Linked DNA regions of Oryzias latipes. The protein of the gene in region 4 interacts with the protein of the main gene of each other region in a pairwise test. Links are inferred from orthologs where the notes say so. Each region holds a gene or a part of one and is shown on either strand. Other genes may lie near its edges.

The links.
Region 1: the proteins of dystrobrevin beta (region 4) and coiled-coil alpha-helical rod protein 1 interact in binary tests that used the Homo sapiens proteins (3 or more experiments, as listed by UniProt). The link is inferred for Oryzias latipes from reciprocal best matches to the Homo sapiens genes DTNB and CCHCR1.
Region 2: the proteins of dystrobrevin beta (region 4) and cep63 interact in binary tests that used the Homo sapiens proteins (3 or more experiments, as listed by UniProt). The two-hybrid records come from large-scale screens. The link is inferred for Oryzias latipes from reciprocal best matches to the Homo sapiens genes DTNB and CEP63.
Region 3: the proteins of dystrobrevin beta (region 4) and dmd interact in binary tests that used the Homo sapiens proteins (3 or more experiments, as listed by UniProt). The link is inferred for Oryzias latipes from reciprocal best matches to the Homo sapiens genes DTNB and DMD.
Region 5: the proteins of dystrobrevin beta (region 4) and liprin-alpha-1 interact in binary tests that used the Homo sapiens proteins (3 or more experiments, as listed by UniProt). The link is inferred for Oryzias latipes from reciprocal best matches to the Homo sapiens genes DTNB and PPFIA1.
Region 6: the proteins of dystrobrevin beta (region 4) and sntg2 interact in binary tests that used the Homo sapiens proteins (3 or more experiments, as listed by UniProt). The link is inferred for Oryzias latipes from reciprocal best matches to the Homo sapiens genes DTNB and SNTG2.

What each region holds. Positions count from the first base shown.
Region 1 is NC_019872.2:16,058,902-16,062,065, reverse strand, and holds part of coiled-coil alpha-helical rod protein 1, read right to left. Parts: intron 2,606-3,164; coding exon 2,459-2,605; intron 2,376-2,458; coding exon 2,265-2,375; intron 2,177-2,264; coding exon 2,070-2,176; intron 1,993-2,069; coding exon 1,880-1,992; intron 1,791-1,879; coding exon 1,718-1,790; intron 1,148-1,717; coding exon 1,029-1,147; intron 960-1,028; coding exon 771-959; intron 1-770. UniProt on the Homo sapiens protein: May be a regulator of keratinocyte proliferation or differentiation.
Region 2 is NC_019862.2:2,686,827-2,690,855, forward strand, and holds the start of cep63 (centrosomal protein of 63 kDa), read right to left. Parts: upstream 2,801-4,029; 5' UTR 2,538-2,800; intron 1-2,537. Other genes in the region: uncharacterized protein LOC111947333, read left to right, coding at 3,657-3,985. UniProt on the Homo sapiens protein: Required for normal spindle assembly.
Region 3 is NC_019860.2:218,307-221,765, forward strand, and holds the end of dmd (dystrophin), read left to right. Parts: intron 1-160; coding exon 161-275; intron 276-353; coding exon 354-443; intron 444-1,818; coding exon 1,819-1,844; 3' UTR 1,845-1,847; intron 1,848-1,974; 3' UTR 1,975-2,959; downstream 2,960-3,459. UniProt on the Homo sapiens protein: Anchors the extracellular matrix to the cytoskeleton via F-actin. Ligand for dystroglycan.
Region 4 is NC_019880.2:104,019-107,518, reverse strand, and holds part of dystrobrevin beta, read left to right. Parts: coding exon 1-210; intron 211-2,107; coding exon 2,108-2,193; intron 2,194-2,336; coding exon 2,337-2,491; intron 2,492-2,561; coding exon 2,562-2,667; intron 2,668-3,500.
Region 5 is NC_019861.2:2,121,644-2,125,143, forward strand, and holds part of liprin-alpha-1, read left to right. Parts: intron 1-1,836; coding exon 1,837-1,938; intron 1,939-2,126; coding exon 2,127-2,291; intron 2,292-2,387; coding exon 2,388-2,462; intron 2,463-3,500. UniProt on the Homo sapiens protein: May regulate the disassembly of focal adhesions. May localize receptor-like tyrosine phosphatases type 2A at specific sites on the plasma membrane, possibly regulating their interaction with the extracellular environment and their association with substrates.
Region 6 is NC_019880.2:18,097,927-18,101,426, forward strand, and holds part of sntg2 (gamma-2-syntrophin), read right to left. Parts: intron 2,729-3,500; coding exon 2,591-2,728; intron 2,475-2,590; coding exon 2,418-2,474; intron 2,253-2,417; coding exon 2,195-2,252; intron 1,000-2,194; coding exon 956-999; intron 1-955. UniProt on the Homo sapiens protein: Adapter protein that binds to and probably organizes the subcellular localization of a variety of proteins. May link various receptors to the actin cytoskeleton and the dystrophin glycoprotein complex.

The DNA.
Region 1 (3,164 bases), on a different chromosome or scaffold from region 4:
TATATCTGGGTTTTAGTCTCCACAGTTGGATGGTTTTGTGGTATTTTTCTTCACTTTTTTTCCTTTTTAGGTACTATTTTTTGTAAAAAAAAAAAAATAATAATAATAATAATAAAAATAAATAAAAATTCCTCTAAAGGAAAGTAAACACTTATGGTAAACGGTAAATGTGATGCCTGCATCATCACTTAATATGGAAATCAAAAAGAACTGAAGCTAAGGAATCCAGTAGTGTTACGTTTTTACAAGGTTTGACACAAAATAATAAAAAATTGGATAAATTATTAATTAAAAAGCAAAATAAAAACATTATATGAAGACATATCCTAAACATTTTACACAAAATTTTGTTCTGATTTCCAGATATTTAAAAAAGTGTTATTCTTCCAACTACCAGAGAAAAAAAATAAGCCCCATCCTTTTCCACTTAGTAACATTGAAAAGCCTTAAATGTCCTCTTAGATACCAGATGAGTAAATTTAGTAGTAGAGAGGTTGGGAAATATTGGGGTTTAAAATACCCTCTATAATGGACAACTTTACATTTCTGGTAGTCAGGAGGACATGAACAATAAGAATGTGAACAATGTTCTTTATATCTTTTTTTCTCAAAGCTGATCAGTTTTTAACAAAAGTTTCAGTTTGACATGGTTGACTCCACTTGATCAGCTGGAGACATAGTGTCCGGGTCCCCGTAAGGCTGCTGAAGCATCAAAACAAGAACCTTTCCAGAAAAGGCCAGTTCCGTTCAAAGTCAAGTCGCTGCCTCACCCTGCTGGTTTCGCTCTTGCTGGTGGAGCAGCTCACAGGGAAGTGTCTCCAAGCTGATGCTGGTCTCATCCAGCTGTGCCTGGATCTGCTGCAGCCTCTGTTCCGCCTTCTCTTTACCGGCTAGAGCCTGTTTCACCTCCATGCAGCTCAGCTCCAGCTCCTGCTCCAGCTGCCTGACTTTACTCCCATCTGCAGACAGAAGAAGTCTAATCCCAATCATGGATTCCAGAAAAGTCATAAATCAAAACATGATCTCACATTGTTCCTTCAGATCAGCGAGAGCTTTCTCAATGAGCTCTGGGGTTCTTTTGAGCTCTAGACTCAGCCTGTCTCGCTCCTCGCAAATCAGACCGTATTCCGTCTGCAAGTTTGTCAAGCTGCAAGACAAAAAATACTATAAGAAGACGAACTGTAAGAAAATGCAAAGTTAAAAATATCAATAAAACAGACAATCAAGTCCATATAAACTTGTTATTAATACAGTTTTTACCCTTCTCAAAGAATTCTTAAATTTTCATAATTCAAATAATTCAAATCTTTGACAGGGTTGAAGGGAAATGTTGCTTTTGATGCAAAATGATGTCACGTCTTAAATTATGCAGTGATATTTAGAAGATCTATTTTGTTCAAAATCTCGGATCACTGTTTCCATAGAACAAAACAAAAATACTCGTGAACCTAATTTTGAGTAGAAAATCTAGACAAATAGAAAATATGATTGCATATACTCTTTACACTTTAAATGAAACATAAAAAAATAAACAAAAAAATAAAAGTGCTTGATGTCATTGTGCCCAAAACTACAAGTGTCCCAGTTCAACAAATATTTATTTGAACTGGGTTTATTTAGTTAAATAAGATCTGATGGGAAAAACTCATGTGAACCATTTTTAATTATCCAATCAGGTCTGTTTGTGCACGACAATCATCTGATTGTGAACCTATACCTGTTCTTTTCTTGCTTTGGTGGTTGACACGCCTGCTCAATTTTCTGCAGAGCCGCTCGCCTCATGACCAAACCTGCAGAACCAAAACAGTATTCACTGAAATGTTGTATGCACGTCTATGAGGAAGAATTTCTGTCAACAAGCTAACCCCAGAAGCCTTACACTGGATGGTCTCCACTCTTCTAGAAGCAAAAGAGAGCCTCTGGGTAAAAGTGTTTAGCTTTGTTTTAGCAGAGTCTACTTCTGCGGTCTTGCGGTCAAATTCCTTCTGGAACCTGTTGAGAAAAAACTGCAATAAATACCATTGAGGAAATACAGAAATGAAAATCAATTTGTATCAAATAAAAGTTACCTCTGCACAGCTTCTATCAGGATCTTGATTTCAGCCTCTGCTCTCTGGTTCTGTGACTTCAGCTCAGCATTTTCTCTCTCAACTTTTGTTAAATCTTCCCTCAGTGTCTAGTTTGATAACAACATATTTTTAGAAAAGCGACATGCAGACACATCTTTATAGTGTCTTTATGAGCTCAGACGTTCTGATGCTAACCTCCTTTTCTACCTTCTCCAGGTCCAGCTCTGCCATCCTGTCTTGCAGACTGTGTTGGAGCAGACGGTTCTGGTGCTGCTCCTGCTGGAGCTGCTGCTCCGTGGATCTCACCTGAGACAGAACAAGTGTTTTTTGGTTAAAAATAACACTGATGAAATGTACAGAGTTTGAAGAACAAATGACTTTTTTCATACATCAAAAAGAACTTTGTCTTTTTCTCTTCTCGTCTCAATGTCTTTAGAGCGAAGCTGGACGCACAACTTGAACACTTTCTCTCTCCACAGCTGAAGCACTTGAAGGATGTCAGGCTCCTTCCATTGGAGAGGATCTGCAGAGGTTTGCTATAAAACACACATACTTTCTTCAGATAAGGTTTAAATTTAAAAACACATTTCCAAAGCATCCTAAATGTTCATCTCCAAATCTCCAAAATAGACCAAAACTCTCAACATTACAACCAGTAATATTTAGCTGTTAATATACACACAGTATTCAAAATATTTTGAGGAGAACTCCCCCCTCCCCTGCAAAAAATTCGGTTTTATATACATTTTCACTAAAATAACTAATAAATATTTATTAATATGAAAGTGTGAGTGTTATTAATGATTGTTTAACAATTTTATATATTCACAGGTACCTAAAGCATCTGAACAAAAGAGAAATCTGTTACTGTTGGTAACATTTTGTTTATGATTTTAACTTTATTTGCTTATTTTCAACTTCAGGTGTAAGTCATAAAATCTGTTTGTTTTTTTCAGGATAGGGCTGATTAAGATATTGTTTGATAAATAGAGATAAAATATTTTATACCAGCCCAATTAAAGTACATGGATAAGGACCCAGAAGTTTAGTGGGACCAAAAAAATATTGTGTAAAAAAAAAAAATACTTTATCTAT
Region 2 (4,029 bases), on a different chromosome or scaffold from region 4:
ACAAAATGATGACTACACCCTTACTTTGACGTGTTCTCCCTACCATGACAAAGGTGGAAAGATTTCATGTAATCCATGGACACCACTGAAGATCACAAATCATTCAAGAAAAAAGGTTCAGAGCACTCTCTAGTGGGTCTAGATGACCCAACTCCCAGGATAGCAAAAGGGTTAAAACTAATCTGGTCTGTTGATCTGCTAAGAGAGTTTCGGGATGCGCCTTCACTGTAGATCAGCAGGGTTTGCAGAGCTTGGTGTCGATGGATGCTGCGTGACCAAAGATTATCCATAAGTTGATTCTGCAGTACAGACATCTAGTCTGGTCAAAGAGAAATACACAAGAAATCCTTTTTTATTATAAAGATTTGGTTTTAAGTTTCTATGAGGCTTAAAAAGATGATTTTACTTGGATATGATAAGAACAAAATACTTAAATTCAACTTTTACTGAATTCAAATAAGAGTATGGTAAACATTGTTAAAATTAATTTCTGCAAAAAATAAGTCACATGATAAAATTAACATTTAACACTAATGTAGTCTGATTAATAAAACAATTTAAAAATAGTTTATAGTTATTATATAACAATTTTTTTACATTCTCAAAAGAGGGTAGGTACTTGTACACAGTTATATTTAGTATAAAAACTTATGAGAAGTAAATAAACAAAAAAAAGTATTTTTATTAACCATTTTGGGGTACTCTACAAACCCACAAAGTTACTACAGTTATTATATATTTTACAACCTGTAAGGAAGTTATAAAATATGTCCGTTAAACTAGCTAAAGCTATTGTGTAATTCTTGAGAACTTCATCTTGTAGAATTTTGTTTTATTTTTTGAGAGATTGAATACATACGGAGCCTGTTACCGCCCTAACCCCTAACTTTTAAAAAAAACTATACAGTGCAGCATTATATAATGCCTTGAATTTTAAAAGCTATTCAGACACCGTGCTATCCTAGGCACTTTAACATTGGGAGTTGGGTCATCTAGACCCACTAGACCAGTTCTTCTCAAATAGTGGGGCTAGGCGGCGCGAAGCGATGTCAGGGGGGGGCGCGCGGTGATGGTGGTTTATGCACAGGTAATACGGGCAATCGTCCGGTGCGCAAATTTAACATGGGGGCGGTGGTGACAGCGGCTCAGTGCTTGGAAAAATATCTGGTCCACTATTCGGTTCCTGTTGTCTGTTATATCACAGAGTTTGTAACAGCCTGAAACCTTTGAATTCCCGTCCCTGCAGCTGCTCCTATCTCGTGTCACACGGGGCTGCATGAGTGAGAACGAAAGGGGAGGGGTGGGGTGTGACTTTGTGATGATTATTTATAAGTCCACTGTCTTCTGAAGATAAACACAAAACATTTTAAAAACATTTAAATACATTTTTCTGCAAAAATTACAGACGCAATGCATTGTTGTCTATATTTCCCGATCTAATGAGCGTCGAGGCACACCGGTTTTTCGCAGAGACATCTGGGAAATTTCTGCGGGGCACTCAATTTGGGAATTGTAGGTTCAGACAGCACTTCAAAATGGTAAGATGCACTATATAACGGTTAGGGTGGGATTTCGGACATAGGCTCTGTCAAAAACCAGTGTGCTCACTACGTAAATCGGTACCATAGACCACAATGCATTGCGTCAAAGCAATTTTTACCCCAAATAAAGTATATTTTAAACAAACCATCAAAGTTTTTATCTTCAGAACACAGTGGATTCATAAATACGATGGAGTTTTCAGTTTACAAAAAAAAAAAATTAAAATTACGATTTTTAATTCGTAAATTTCAGAGAAAGAAAGTCATAACTGTTAAATTACGAGATTTTAAGACGTTATGAGATTTTATCTCGTTAATTTATGAGTTTTATCTCATAAATTCACAACTTAAAATCTCGTAAATTTTTGAGTTTTTTTCTCGTAAATCTACAAGAAAAAGTCATAGTAAAAAACAAGTAAAAACACATAAGTTTTCTGTTTATCGGAGCCTAGCTTGAAGACGAAATATGTGGAGACTTTTGTGAAGCTTTATTTCCAGATAAGTTTCAAAAACAAACAAATTTTGAGCCTTTTGACGACTTAAAATCACATTTTTGTTAGTGTAGCCAGCCTTCCAGGGTTCGGTGTCGGTAAAGCGGAGTTAACTAAGGAGCTCAGAGACTCGTTTGGGTGTAGAGGACCGCTACTTTATTTTCCTTTTCAATCACAAACCCAGAAGTCCATTTGTCACCTTACGTCATGAACCTGTCATGCGCAGAACACCAATGTTTAAACGAAATGTCCCGTTTCAACATAAAACAACAAAGATGAATGAAAATAGTCTGTTAAATTAGCATAAGCATGTTGAAAATGCCAAAAAAGTGCACACAGACCTCTAAACATCCTCCGTGTCTTCAATGCATTGTAATGAAATATACACAGACAGAAATGTGAAAGTATCTGCTGTAAATCCAAGAATGACTTATCAGATGAATTATTATTTCGTGGGAACATTTTTTTTTTTTACCCATGTCAGGTCACGGGCTCCGTACAGTACCTGTTGTGTCTCAGCCGGACTATAAGGACTCCATGCCTGGATCACTACTCCTCTCTGAGTCAGTCACGCGACACGTTACTTACTACGCGACAGGACATTCGCCGACGCGGCTGGAATGATCTACGGCTAAGACTCGTCCAAATTCACAGCCGTTAACATCCAGACAACCCGCGCGACGAATGACCCGGCCAACGTCGACCGTGAAGGCCGCGGCCACTGAAAGACGCAGCCCCCGAATTCGGACACACCCTCCATTTTCATCTCAATACAGATTATATTTACATATTTTGACTAAGTGTAAGCGTGGCTCGTTGGTCTAGGGGTATGATTCTCGCTTTGGGTGCGAGAGGTCCCGGGTTCAAATCCCGGACGAGCCCAAAGGTTTTTATTGTCCACTGCCCAAAGCTTTTTATTTTCCACTAAGAAAAACATTTTTATCCAAGTGGTTGGAGTGGATATTTTTTATTTTATTTATTTATTTATTTTTTTAACTTTTTACCATTTCTAAGTTAGTCATCTCCTTCGACCAGCCCTCCACCGGCCTAACAGCAAACACAGGAACAAAGACGGAGGCTTGGCTCAGCTTCCCCAGCTGTTGTTGGGCGAGTCCTGGGCGGTGACAGACGTCTCTGTTCCGCCCCCAGCCGCGGCGGACTCTCAACAGGCGGCAGACGCGACAGTTCATTTACAGTTCTTGACTGCAGGCAGACTGAGCCACTTGGAAAAACCTGATCTGAACGAGAACTAGAAGCATTTCACTCAAGTAAGTATAACATTTGATTTATTTGAACATGACTCCTCTTCTTCTGTCAGTGGTAAACTTCTTTTTATACTGTAACTTTTTACTATTAAAAGGACATGTTATTATCCAAGAAAATAATGAGTTTTCTTATCTTGATGTGAAATGGTTGCATTCACAAGAATTAAAATATCAAAAATTCCTCTAATTCATTTTTTCTCCTTAGAGTAGAAATAAATACAGCTGTCATTCCTGGGTAAAGTTTGACCAAAGGACAATCTTTTCATGTTTCTTCCCAGCCGGGCCCGTGGGACCGTCTGGGACCTTCTGCAGCTCCTCTGTGGCTCTCAGCAGGAACATCGCCGTCGTCCATCTGGACCATGGTTCTGTGTGAGGACAGCGACTGCACCGTCTGCTTCTTCCCTTACTCCCGCATGGACAGGATCCCCCGGGTGCTTCACTGCAGACATACCTTCTGTGAACTGTGTCTGGAGGCCATGCAGCAGGTCAGGAGCAGCTACCTGGCGCTGGCCTGCCCGCTGTGCCGCAGGGTCACCTGCATTGACCGAGGCCTCAGCCTGCAGGAAGCTCTGTGGGTGGACAGCAGGCAGTGGGAGCAGATCGCAGAGGCAGGAGAGGAGGACGACACACTCAAACTGGAAGGAGAGGAGCTGGAGACCAAGCAGCGCCTCTCATTACAGATGGAATGGTGAGTTCTGCAGGGGAACAGCACGTCCAACACACAGGTCAGCT
Region 3 (3,459 bases), on a different chromosome or scaffold from region 4:
GGGGAGTGGTCGCTTCAACGCGCGTTTCTGAGCCCGGTGTGAACGCACGGTGAAAACCACGCCCCATGAGGTTTACTGTTGTCATGGCGACAACAGAAGCGTCTGAAAGTGTCACCAAAACCACCAGATTGATGAACATCAACAACTCTGTGTGTGTTAGACGGACTCCAAGGTGAACGGTACGGCCCTGTCCTCGCCCTCCACCTCCTCCCAGCGCTCTGACTCCTCCCTGCCCGTCCTACGAGTGGCCGCCAGCCAGACCACCGACACCATGGGTGAGTGCCGCCATGGCGCAGCGGCGTTGTCACGATCAGCCGCCGGGAAAACGCCAAACATCTGTTGATGCTTTGCAGGTGATGATGATCTGTCCAGCCCTTCCCAGGATGCATCTGGTCTAAAAGAAGTGATGGAGCAGCTCAACAATACCTTTCCTCACAGCCAGGGTGCGCTGTCTCCACTCTCCTTACTGCTGAGGTGTTGGGTGTTTGATCAGCTGACGTTGTCTGGACGTTGAGTCGTGGCGTCTGGGCTGACTGATGACGCTAAGTCCAGACGCCACGACTCAACCTGTGGACTTTTAGGAACTTTTAAGCTACAAGAATTAGAAATGTAGCGTCAGAGGATCTTTGTTTTCAGTTCTGTTTCCTGCTGTGAACTCGTGTCAGCTGAGACTTTAACGGTGGAGCTCTAGCTGCATGTTGACGTTCTTTGAAATGTTTTAACCCTTTGACTGTCTACAGCAGGGGTCGGGAACCTTTTTGGCCAAGAGAGCCATAAATGCCACATAATGCCATACAATAATGTAGCGTCCCTTTCCCACACTGAGGCACAGAGACTTAACTTCTTTTGAGGTTCTTTATTCTGGTTACTGCAGACCGCAACAAACGCCGTACAATTAATTCAGCAACTCCTTATTCTCTCCCGCCTAGACGAGAGCGTAGGTGTAGATGTGAGACAGACATAGAGCCAAACACACACTCACACTGCAGTGAGTGACGGGCAGCGGGTTTACGTTTTTACCATCCCTGCTGCCTGTACCCAGGCACGGCAATTCAAAGGTTTCCAGTTGGTACAAACTCTGTGAAATAATAGATAATAGTAACTGATAGCGCTGGCGCAGATTTTTCTCTCCAAGCACCGCTACTACTGCGCGCCTCTGGCATGGCATCAAACCCGAGATGGACTGGTCTAATGAAAAAAAAAGTATAATTAAAGATTTGTCTGCGAGCAACATGTGACCATCAAAAGAGCCATATATGGCTCGCCAGCCATAGCTTCCTGACCCCTGGTCTACACGGTTAACTGAAGCAGAGAGAAACAGCTTTGTGCTGACAAACACAGCTGTTGTATATCTTTATGAATGACATAAACAATCATAGAGCTACAATGACTCTGTAAGTCTGATACGATTCTGTCAATCACCTAGACCTCCGTAGAGTTACAGTAATTCTGTGATAATCTGATCCTAACTATGATAGTTAATGTAACAGAATACCAACAGATAGTGATGCTAAGAACGGCAGCTTGGCTCTTTTTTCCTTTTGACTCATCAGCCCAAAGCCGTTTTCTTTGAATTAATCTAAAATGATCATAATGTTACGGTGAGTGAAAGGGTGTGTGATATTTAGGCGTAGCCGCTGACATCGCTGGAGCTAAAAGCTTAACTCTGGAAAACTGCCCAAAGTTACCCACTAGTTAAGCCTCAGGTTAGCTCAGTTAAAAGGCACATCTGTTTTATTGGGGTGGGTGTGGGGGGTTCTCTGTTCATCCTAGCACTGCTCTGATCTTCTTTCTTGCGCCTGCTCTTCCATGGTCCAGGAGGGAGAAGGGGACATCATCTTTGAGCGGTCAGTGCCTCACTCCCCATCATCCATTTTTATTGCAGTGTGTCCTCCTGACAGACAGGGGGCAGCACAGGAGCAGGCTCATTCATGAGAACGTGACATCGCTAACGTCTGCTCTCCTCCCCGTCAGGTCCCAGCACCCCCAGCCATCATGGAGTCGGCGGTCATCGCCATGACAGACGCGCAGGACGCCATGGGACAGCCCTTTTGAACTCTAGCCCCGCCCCCTACATAAAGCATGCTTTTCTAGTCGAAACAACTGGATTGAAGAGTTTACAAAGAAATTCTAACATCTATTTTTGTGAATGATGGTTGTTGTAACTTAGACTGAGTAGTTTCTTAACGCGTCCTGACGTCATTCTCTGGTTTTTAAACTTCTATGCAAAACTGTAAAAAAACGGAGAGGGACAGACCGGATCTCTTTCTATTGACGAGCAGCCCGAGCATTTCACACATTTCTATCAAAAAATGATTGTAATAATACGTTTTCTAAGAGGACGCCGCTTCTGACTGATGTGTGTTTGTGTGTGACTACTGCATACCAAGGGTAACTGGGCAGGTAGAGCCACGCCCCTTTGTTTGAATGGCTGTTGGAGCCAAACTATAGGTGTTTGTCACCATCGTGGTAACCTGACATGCTAAGTACAGGTGCAGTCTGTAACTAGAGGGCGGGGTTGGACTTACAGGTGCAGTTTGGTTCCTACACCCGCTGTCCTCGGTCTCTGCCGTACTGATGTTGGTTTACAGACCAGACTGACAGAAGAAGGAAAATAGAAACCAATGCAATACAAAAACAGCTAAAGTATCAGACCCAACCAGGAGGATCCAAGTCCACGACCTGAAACAAGAACAACCCGTCCAAAAACGCAGCCCAAAACGATTTGACTCATCCGGCCCAAGCTGAACAAGAGCCAGACCAGACTCCGCCCCTTCCTGGTCTGGAGGTGTGTGTTGTGTGGAAGTGAACATCCTCAGCAGCAGCATGACCCGATGGTTTGTGCGTGAATCAACAAACGTCTGTTCTTCACGACATATCAGACTCCACCAAATGTATGCCTTACTACTGTATTACGAAATGCTTTACTATGTATCAATAAAGCACGCAGTTATGTCCAGCTGCTGGCGCCGTGGTGTTTGTGAGGCTGACGACCAGGTCCACAGGTTGACGGCTGGACTCTGGACTTGGTCCTCTTTGGTACATTTGGACAAAAAGCTCCATTTCTCTGCTCATCAAAGCAGCCTGAAGCCAAGAACCGTCTGACTGTTCAGAAACAACTATTGAAGTAAACCTGGATGTTTGAAAAGACTGAAGATGATGAGGGGAGGGACCCGCCTAACCCCTTCAGAGTCACAGGAGCCGACCTGGTTCCTGTTAAGTGAGGTTAGAGTTCACCATGGATGGGTTACCAGTGGACAGACACACTGGGGCTTTGGGGCTGTTTGGGGTCCAATGGACCCAGGATGCATGTTGTTGTAGACCAGAGGACATGTCCTCCACACAGGTGTTGATGCATAGATCCTTGATGAGTTCTTCTGTTTTTGCCATTTCTGCTCACATCTCTAACAAACTGTTGTAACGTTTACCCCCCCTGCACTCACATGAAAGAAGGGGGTG
Region 4 (3,500 bases):
TCTGGTGGATGTGTGGAACATGATCGAAGCCTTTCGGGACAACGGCCTCAACGCGCTGGACCACAACGCTGAGATCAACGTGTCGCGGTTGGAGACCATCCTGTCCTCCATCTATTACCAGCTCAACAAGCGTCTGCCCACCACCCACCAGATCAACGTGGAGCAGTCCATCGGGCTGCTGCTCAACTTCATGGTGGCGACCTACGACAGGTACGACAGGAGCGCAGAGGAACGACAGGACGTTGGTGACGATGTCTTGAAGTTGAAAGGTGACATCTGGACTCAAAGTCTTCTGTCTTGGAAACGTTTCCTGCCCTCCAGAGACGGACGAAGGTTTCCAGGGTGGAGGACTTCAAGTCCAGACGCCACGATTTAGCTGCAAGACAATTACAGGAAGCTGAACCAGAAGAAGAAAGTCTTTGAAACGTCCTAAAAGAAGTCTGAATTAAGAGGCGATTCTGACTTTAACTGACAGAAACCAGACTAAAATCTTCTGTTTCCGTTTCTATCAGAAATCTTAAAGCTTAACAAATGTTTCTATTAACCGTTTTCAGCATCTGTAAGACTTTAATTCACTCTGAATTCCAAGGCAAGGCAAGGCAAGTTTATTTGTATAGCACAATTTTACACAAAGTAATTCAAGGTGCTTCACAAAACAGAAAAATGCATTAAAATCACAATACATCATAGAAATAATCAACGTAAAATTAACTTTAAAAGAAAAGAAAAAAACATTTTGAAAATTGATTTAAAAATAAAGGAAGGAAAGGAAAGAAAAGTGCAGATAGGACCTTTCAGTCATATACACGGCTAAACAGAAATGTTTTAAGTCTAGATTTGAACATGAACACAGAAGAGGCCTGTCTTACGACTTCAGGGAGGCTGTTCCAGATTTCAGCTGCAGAATATTGAAACGCTGATTCCCCTTGTTTAGTTCTGACTCTGGGAATCAACAGGAGGCCATACAGTGTTTTGGAGTTTTAGCCTTATTTGTTTTTTTTTCAAACATCTTCATTCAGTTTTTCTGAGCTTCCTACTCAACTCAAATGTTATTACCATTTATTTTCAAATTGTTTTCAAAATTCAGTTTAAAATTAATGTTTTTCAAATGAATAGTGTTTCTATTAATCTACTTTTATTCTTCTCAGAATGAACAGTTTTGAACTTTCTTTATAAAATGTGTCATGTCATTAAAGACTCTTTATTCTGTTCTATTGTGTTCTAGTCTATTATGTTCTATTCTATTGTGTTTTATTCTATTCTGTTATTTTCTAATCTATTGCATTTGTATTCTGTTCTGTTTTATTATTTTCTGTTTTATTGTATTCTATTCGTTCTATTCTCCTTCTATTCTTTTTTCTGTTCTATTCTGTTCAATTGTGTTTTATTCTGTTCTATTCTATCCTGTTCTATAATGTTTTATACTTTTCTGTTCTCTTGTGTTCTATTCTATTCTATTCTGTTCAATTGTGTTCTATCCTGTTCTATTGTGTTTAATTCTTTTTTATTGTGTCCTGTTCTATTCTATTCTATTCTATTCTATTGTGTTCTATTTTCTTCTGTTGTTTTCTGTTCTTTTGTGTTCTAATGTGTTTCATTGTATCCTGTTCTGTTCTATTCTATTGCGTTGGTTTCTATTCTCTTCCATTGTGTTTTATTCTACTTTATTCTATCCTGTTCTATTTTGTTCTAATCCCCTCTGTTCTGTTCTATTTTTTCTGTTCTATTCTGTTCTATTATGTTTGTTTCTTTTCTATCCTGTTTCATTGTGTTGTATTCTATTGTGTTCTATTCTCCTTTCTTCTATTATATTCTTTTTTGCTTGTTCTATTTTGTTGTCTTTTGTTGTCTTTGATTTGGTTTGATTATTGTTTGTTTCTATTCTATTGTTTTCTATTCTGTTCTATTTTTTCTGTTCTGTTTTGTTTTATTTTTTTCTATTCTATTCAATTTAAATGAACATTTATTAATGTCTTAAATCCATCTCCACACTTTAGACACACTTTATTTTCAGGAACACAATCTTTGCGTTCTTAGGACTCTGTTTCAGTTTTTGATGTCAAAAAGTGAAAAAGGTAGAAAAACATGAAACTGTCTTTTTCTCCAGTGACAGTCCGGGGAAGATGACCGTGTTCTCCATGAAGACCATGCTGGCCACCATGTGTGGAGGCAAAATTGTGGACAAACTTCGCTGTAAGACCAGTTTTGAGAGTGTTACATTTAGAAACATTTGTGTTTGTTTTCTTTGAGCACAACCTTCTGAACCTACATGCAGTAAATGAAGCTGAAAGCAGGGGGCGCTGTGGGTCCAATCACCAACTGTCTGCGGGTTTCAGACATTTTTTCACAGATCTCTGACTGCAGTGGACTGATGGTGTTTGCTAAGTTTGACCAGCTGCTCAGGGAGGTGTTGAAGCTCCCCACCGCCGTGTTCGAGGGGCCGTCCTTTGGATACACAGAACATTCTCTGCGGATGTGTTTTCCACAGCAGGTGGGATGCAGAAGACGCATTCCTACACGTCTTTCCCAATAAATGCACTGATGTTTGTGTTTGACACCAGAAGAAGATCCTGCTGAACACGTTTTTGGATGTGCTCATGGCAGACCCCCCCCCTCAGTGTCTCGTGTGGCTCCCACTGATGCACAGACTCGCTAACGTTGAAAATGGTGAGTTTTTGCCTGTAGGAAGGTTCGAACCCTGGATGGGACCTTCCTGTGTGGAGTTTGCATGTGTGGTATTTCTGTAGCTTCCCCCTACAGTCCATGAAATGATGACATAAAGAACCAAATCCGTCCAACGCCAACGTTCCATCCAGACACGCTGACGTTCCATCCAGACACGCTAACATTCCATCCAGACACGCTAACATTCCATCCAGACACGCCGACGTTCCATCCAGACACGCTGACGTTCCATCCAGACACGCTGACGTTCCATCCAAACACGCCGACGTTCCATCCAGACACGCTGACGTTCCATCCAGACACGCTGACGTTCCATCCAAACACGCCGACGTTCCATCCAGACACGCCGACGTTCCATCCAGACACGCTGACATTCCATCCAAACACGCTGACATTCCATCCAGACACGCCAACGTTCCATCCAGACACGCCGACGTTCCATCCAGACACGCTGACATTCCATCCAAACACGCTGACATTCCATCCAGACACGCCGACGTTCCATCCAGACACGCCAACGTTCCATCCAGACACGCCGACGTTCCATCCAGACACGCTGACATTCCATCCTGACGTTCCATCCAGACACGCTGACGTTCCATCCAAACACGCTGACGTTCCATCCAAACACGCTGACGTTCCATCCAAACACGCCGACGTTCCATCCAGACACGCTGACGTTCCATCCAGACACGCTGACATTCCATCCAGACACGCTGACGTTCCATCCAAACACGCCGACGTTCCATCCAGACACGCAGACGTTCCATCCAAACATGCCGACGTTCCATCCAAACACGCTGACGTTCCATCCA
Region 5 (3,500 bases), on a different chromosome or scaffold from region 4:
TGAGTTAGTGAAACCTTCTCTGAGTTAGTGGAACCTTCTCTGAGTTAGTGGAACCTTCCCTGAGTTAGTGAAACCTTCTCTGAGTTAGTGAAACCTTCCCTGAGTTAGTGAAACCTTCTCTGAGTTAGTGAAACCTTCCCTGAGTTAGTGAAACCTTCCCTGAGTTAGTGAAACCTTCCCTGAGTTAGTGACACCTTCCCTGAGTTAGTGAAACCTTCTCTGAGTTAGTGAAACCTTCCCTGAGTTAGTGAAACCTTCCCTGAGTTAGTGACACCTTCCCTGAGTTAGTGAAACCTTCTCTGAGTTAGTGAAACCTTCCTTGAGTTAGTGAAACCTTCCCTGAGTTAGTGACACCTTCTCTGAGTTAGTGAAACCTTCCCTGAGTTAGTGAAAGCTTCCCTGAGTTAGTGAAACCTTTTCTGAGTTAGTGATACTTCTCTGAGTTAGTGAAATCTTCTCTGAGTTAGTGAAACCTTCCCTGAGTTAGTGAAACCTTCCCCGAGTTAGTGAAACCTTCCCTGAGTTAGTGAAACCTTCCCTGAGTTAGTGACACCTTCTCTGAATTAGTGAAACCTTCCCTGAGTTAGTGAAACCTTCTCTGAGTTAGAGAAACCTTCTCTGAGTTAGTGAAACCTTCCCTGAGTTAGTGAAACCTTCCCTGAGTTAGTGAAACCTTCCCTGAGTTAGTGAAACCTTCCCTGAGTTAGTGAAACCTTCCCTGAGTTAGTGAAACCTTCTGTGAGCTAGTGACACATTCTCTGAGTTAATGAAATCTTCCTTTGAGTTACTGAAACCTTCTCTGAGTTAGAGACACCTTCTCTGAGTTAGAGAAACCTTCTCTGTGTTAGAGAAACCATCTCTGAGTTAGAGAAACCTTCTCTGAGTTAGAGAAACCTTCTCTGAGTTAGAGAAACCTTCTCTGAGTTAGAGAAACCTTCTCTGAGTTAGAGAAACCTTCTCTGAGTTAGAGAAACCTTCTCTGAGTTAGAGAAACCTTCTCTGAGTTAGAGACACCTTCTCTGAGTTAGAGAAACCTTTTCTGAGTTAGAGAAACCTTCTCTGAGTTAGAGAAACCTTCTCTGAGCTAGTGACACATTCTCTGAGTTAGTGAAACCTTTTCTGAGTTAGAGAAACCTTCTCTGAGCTAGTGACACATTCTCTGAGTTAGTGAAACCTTTTCTGAGTTAGAGAAACCTTTTCTGAGTTAGAGAAACCTTCTCTGAGTTAGAGAAACCTTCTCTGAGCTAGTGACACATTCTCTGAGTTAGTGAAACCTTTTCTGAGTTAGAGAAACCTTTTCTGAGTTAGAGAAACCTTTTCTGAGTTAGAGAAACCTTCTCTGAGTTAGAGAAACCTTCTCTGAGCTAGTGACACATTCTCTGAGTTAGTGAAACCTTTTCTGAGTTAGAGAAACCTTCTCTGAGCTAGTGACACATTCTCTGAGTTAGTGAAACCTTTTCTGAGTTAGAGAAACCTTTTCTGAGTTAGAGAAACCTTCTCTGAGTTAGTGAAACCTTTTCTGAGCTAGTGACACATTCTCTGAGTTAGTGAAACCTTTTCTGAGTTAGAGAAACCTTCTCTGAGTTAGTGAAACCTTCTCTGAGCTAGTGACACATTATCTGAGTTAGTGAAACCTTCTCTGAGTTAGTGAAACCTTCTCTGCAGTGCTCTCTGTATTTCTGGGTTTCCTATGATGCCAGAGTTCTGCTGTGATTGAAATGTCTGTCTGTGTTTACATGAGAGCGGAGGGTTTCTCCGCCATGAAGCCTCACGGTGCACAGCGCATCAGTAACGGCTGCATGCCCCCTGTTCTCTTTGTGCTTCATGCTTCTTTAGGAGTTTGCTGCACTAACAAAGGAGGTGAACGTGTGCCGGGAGCAGCTTCTGGAGAAAGAGGAGGAGATCGCCGAGTTGAAGGCGGAGAGGAACAACACCCGGGTGAGTGAGATGCACACCTTTTTCCTTGGATCTAGCTAGCAACAGTTGTCAAAACAAAAACTCTTTTACTGTTTAACATTGACAACAAATCTTATGGAGACAAAAAACAGTTCATGGTTTCCAAAATGTGTAGTTTGAGAGCAGGAGCGAGGCTTCACTCTGGTCCTCCCTGTCTGTGGTGTGTGCAGCTCCTGCTGGAACACCTGGAGTGCCTGGTGTCGCGTCACGAGCGCAGTCTGAGGATGACCGTGGTGAAGAGGCAGGCTCAGTCTCCTGCTGGTGTCTCCAGCGAGGTGGAGGTCCTCAAGGCTCTCAAGTCACTTTTTGAACACCACAAAGCCCTTGATGAGAAGGTGTGTTTTTGTAGGGAATGTCCAACAGCTCCTGGTAGAATACTGTGCTTGATAAGGATGAATGAAGTTAAAAAGGTTTATGTTCCACCTTTGAAGGTAAGAGAGCGTCTTCGTGTTGCTCTGGAGCGATGCAGCGCTTTGGAGGAAGAACTCGCCATTTCACACAAAGAAGTGAGTAAACACTACAAACTCTGTTTGGGGCTTAGGATGTAAACGGGGTGTTTCGGCTCCAAGTTAGAAGAAGTGCGGCTACACTGGACTTTGTTTAGTATTTATTGAAGTCTCAAGAGCTCAGAGGCTGTTTGTTCATGCATGAATCTACCTGATGTCCTTCATCCGAGGACTGTGGTACATATAGCAGGTTCCAGATGTTATCTGAGATCGCTTCAGTCAGACTTTGCAGAAATCATGTCACACCAGGTTAGTAAATGCTGTGAGGCCATTTGAGCTTTATACAAATGCGTTGAAATGAATCTCATAAAGAACTTTGTGTGATGTTTCTTTGTCCCTCATGTTTTTGATGCCTGCACCAGCCACCCTTGTGAGGGACCAAAGGCTGATTTATGTGAGGTTTAATGCCTTTTGTGAGGCAGAGGGGAAAAAAAAACAAGCACAGGAACCGCGAGAATTGCCCCTTACCCCATAACTTCTGCTAGTTGCCTCTGCTTTTAGTTTAACCCGATGAAGCAGCAGAACATGTGAGGGTTTGTACCAGGCTCCAGAAAGACCTAGAGGAGAATTTTTTTCTCTCAATAACCTTTATTGCACATTTTTCAATTTACAGAAATTCACATTCAGTTGCACAATAAAGAAACAATTGTTACTATCAAACACACATATAAGACCAAACAACAATAATAGGAATAAGCCCTTTTTGTGTGTGTCCCTGCTGGACTTACAGCAGCAACAGAATGTTTAGGGAAGAGGGTTGATATGGAGACAGCGATGTGGTGACACTGATGCTACCATGCTATCATGCAACCATGCTATCATGCTAAAATACTCAGATGCTTTATTGCTGTGTGTCGCCTACATCTGATCACGGACCGGTTTAAAGTCAGACCATATTTTCACAGAGCGAACTTTAAGACGTGGAGGATAAATGCCACAAAAAGAATTCATAGAACATTAATAAAAACTGTATTTTATAAATATAATAACAGACACTTTCTGCTGGCTCTTGTAACATTACAGAGCCCAGCGTTGAGC
Region 6 (3,500 bases), about 18 Mb from region 4:
TGACTCATTTGTGTATAAAACCACAAGTCTTTGCATTTATCTATTTATTGAAAAAACAATAAATAAATAATACTGATAATAATTAAAAAAATAGAAAAGTAAGAAAAAGAAAAATGATGACAAATGAAACAAAACAGAACAGAAAACAAGCGGCCAGCAACAAAAACTACAAAGAAAAGCCTCAGACACAATAGGACACAAGTGTCATCTACTAACAAGACATTGATGGTGTTTTTTCAGCAATTTCAATGCAATGAGGTATGTGCAGAAATAAAAGAGTGCATAACTTAAAGCTCTGATTGGAGTTTCTGTTAAAGAGCTACTTTTTCTAACTCCTTATAATAGCAAAGGTAAAACTTTTCATACATACATCATTTTTTTACCACTATTTTTCCATTATTCTCTTTCAAACAAGCCCACGCCTAATTTGCGTCTTCTTCTCACTAACGTATGATAATAGCTTCAATATTCTGCTCTGTGACATTTCAGACAACTTGCAAATAAATGTAAACAGTAGTGATCTGAAGATGAAGGCAGCGGCAGCTCTATTAATAAAAGATTCGTAATAACGTCCATTATGAATGTGGGTATTACTTTGGCATCCATTCAGTCTTTTTGATATTCTAGATCAACAGTCGATCCAATATGGAAGCCAGACAGACTCAAATTAACTTTAAAATGAGCCAACATGAATGTTTTCCAAGAAAACCTTGGCAAATTCAAACAGTTCATTTCTGAGGCGATATTTACTGATCACAATATTTATTTTCAACCACAGACTGACAGCTATTTGCAAATATATTTGCAAAGAAAACATTTCTAGTTGAACTTGCAATTTAAAAAATGTAAATTTATGTCCTTTAGTGGACCTTTTCACTTTATAGCAGGTTTGAAATAAAGATTCTTCATATTGTGACCTGAACAGTTTCTATGCAATTTAAACTTCTGCACCAACCTGAAGGACGGCGTCTCCAATGAAAAGCTTTCCAGTCTGATCGGCTGCAGAGAGCAATTGATGGAGGTTAATGAAAACATTAAAGGATAATTGCTCATCTCTGACATGATAGAAATAACAATCAGTGTCTCCGTCATACTTATCTTAGACACCATCCTAAAGCTCAGAGACTAAACACAAGAAAGCGTGAAATTCCAAACTAATCAGGATATCAACTCTTTTGCACTGGCGTGACAGGAAACCATGTCGTTAAAAGGAGATTAGTCAAGGTTTCCATGGTCCCCTCCTACATTCACCATTGTGTTGGAGGGCCACATCACCATTTCGGTAAAGTTAAAAGGAAAAGAATTTGAAAACTTTTATTCTGCAAAATACAAAAAAAAATAAATCCAAATTGTTTTGTTTTCTGGTGACACAACTTAGTCTTTTTTTTAAACAAGTTAGATAGTGCCCTTGTTTCTATGTCAGTTTTGTACTGAAAGTTGAATTTAAATGTACCAAACAATCAGACAATCCTTGAATATAATTAAACTTTTACTGTCTTTTGAACACTGCAATCAATACATTAAAAAAAAGCGGTGTTCATCATCAACTCCTTTCTTCGATTTTGAAAGCAGCATACTTTCTTTTAATTTTTGGAATGACTTTCATGCTTTTTAATGGTTTCTTTCCTTCATTAAAATATTGTTCTGTAGTAACCCCTCCAATAAGTTGCTTTCAGACTTTGTTCACATTATCGACCAACCTAATTAAGGAAGGGGGAAGATGCTAAAATAAAATAAGGAACCTCAAGGGCATCATTTTATTTTGAAATCCAATTTGTGGAGGATAATTCTCTTCAGAATTCCCCCAAAAAGCCAATTCTGAACACATTTCCACCCATTTCTAAAATGTTTTGTAATTTTACATCTGTGCATGTGTACACAAACACAAACAGAAAGCAGCAGTAACGTTTTGTTTAATTTGGAAATAATAGCAAAGTTAACAATACGATGAACTACAATGTGTAGGGAAAACAAAGCTTTTGAAAGGAGCAGGAATTTCAAAAATCCCATTATTATTTATGTATTCAGGTAGTTCTCCAATTGACATCAGATTATTGCCATCTGATGTTTTTCCGATGCTCGCATTTCCAAGAATTAGCGTTACCGATTCCTCCCACTTGTCTGACTTTTGTGGTCATGTAAAAAAACTCTCCAATGCCAACACAAAGGTCAAACAATTACAAACCTTACTTACCAACTTGATCCTTAAAGATCTTAGAAATAACCACTGGAACGTTGTGCTCTGCACCTCCCTGAAAATACCAAAAAAAAAAAAAAAAAAAACCTGTTGAATTATGGAGTAACTTTCTTTTCAAACTCATTTTCTACATAAAAAAAATAACCAACTTTAATCACTTCCACTCAAATATGTTTCATTTTCACTTCCATCATTGAGTAATGTAAACATATCTGCTTACTTTGATGCTTAGGCCGAGTCCTCCAGTTGCTTGTCTTCGCAGTACAACAGTTCTGTGCTTTAAAAAGTGGGAGTTTCTTATTGGCAAAAGGGATATTGGGAGTACAGGGACAGTCTTCTGCAGTAAAACGACATTAACTGCAGTAAAAGTGTTAAGTTCTCAGGAGCACTTACATTTACTTGGGATTCAGTTCCACTGGTACAAATCACGTCCAGCTTCTGTATGGTTAATGCCTCTTTGGTCAGCTTCAGGCAGACGTCGTAGGTATTGTTGGTGTCCTCATTGTAGAGCAAAGCAATCCCAGATTTTGTCTGTTGGCGTTGAAAAGAGCATTGACATTTTACCAAGCAGACCAATTATGTACACAATGAACAGTTTAATCTTCTTTTTCTCAAAATGTCACCATTGAGCCATGCTTCTCTGCTCTAGTTTTGGGTTAATTAGTTTTGTGCGACATTGTGAACGCTGGAAAATAGAAGAAAAAAAATTCCTTTTGCAGATTTAAAACCCAAAACTTTTGACTAAGGAAAGTTTAGGAAAACCTGTCAAAATGGACATCCAGAATATATTGCAAAGTTTTCTTCTTGGAACTTTGTCATAGAGAATCTTATTTGTCATAGAGAATCTTGTTTGAATACAAAACTTTAAAAAAAGCTTAACAACTTAAAAAAAAAGTAATTTTGAAAATTTCAAATGAATTTCTTTGGCGTGTCAGTATATCAGCATGCTGCTTAATTTCTGAGTTTCCCCCATGAGAGACTTGTGACCTCTTCTGCTAGGAAATCTGAAGACTCGCAAGTACAAGACCAGCTCAGTGCCATTGTGGAAGAGTGTCCACCCTAAAACTGGAAGGTTCGAGTTCAAATCCACAAACAAGTCAAAACAAAGAGCACTCAGCCTTTGGATTGGGAAATTAACCCACCAAATGTAGTGACTGCAGCTCACGGCTTTCCCGGGGGATGAGTCAAATGCAGAGAACAAATTTCACACACCTATGTGTGACAGTGATGGGACTTTTTTTTTTACTGACTTTAAAGGTGATTCTGCATGAACAAAAGGTTCTGTGCATCAAACGAGATTATA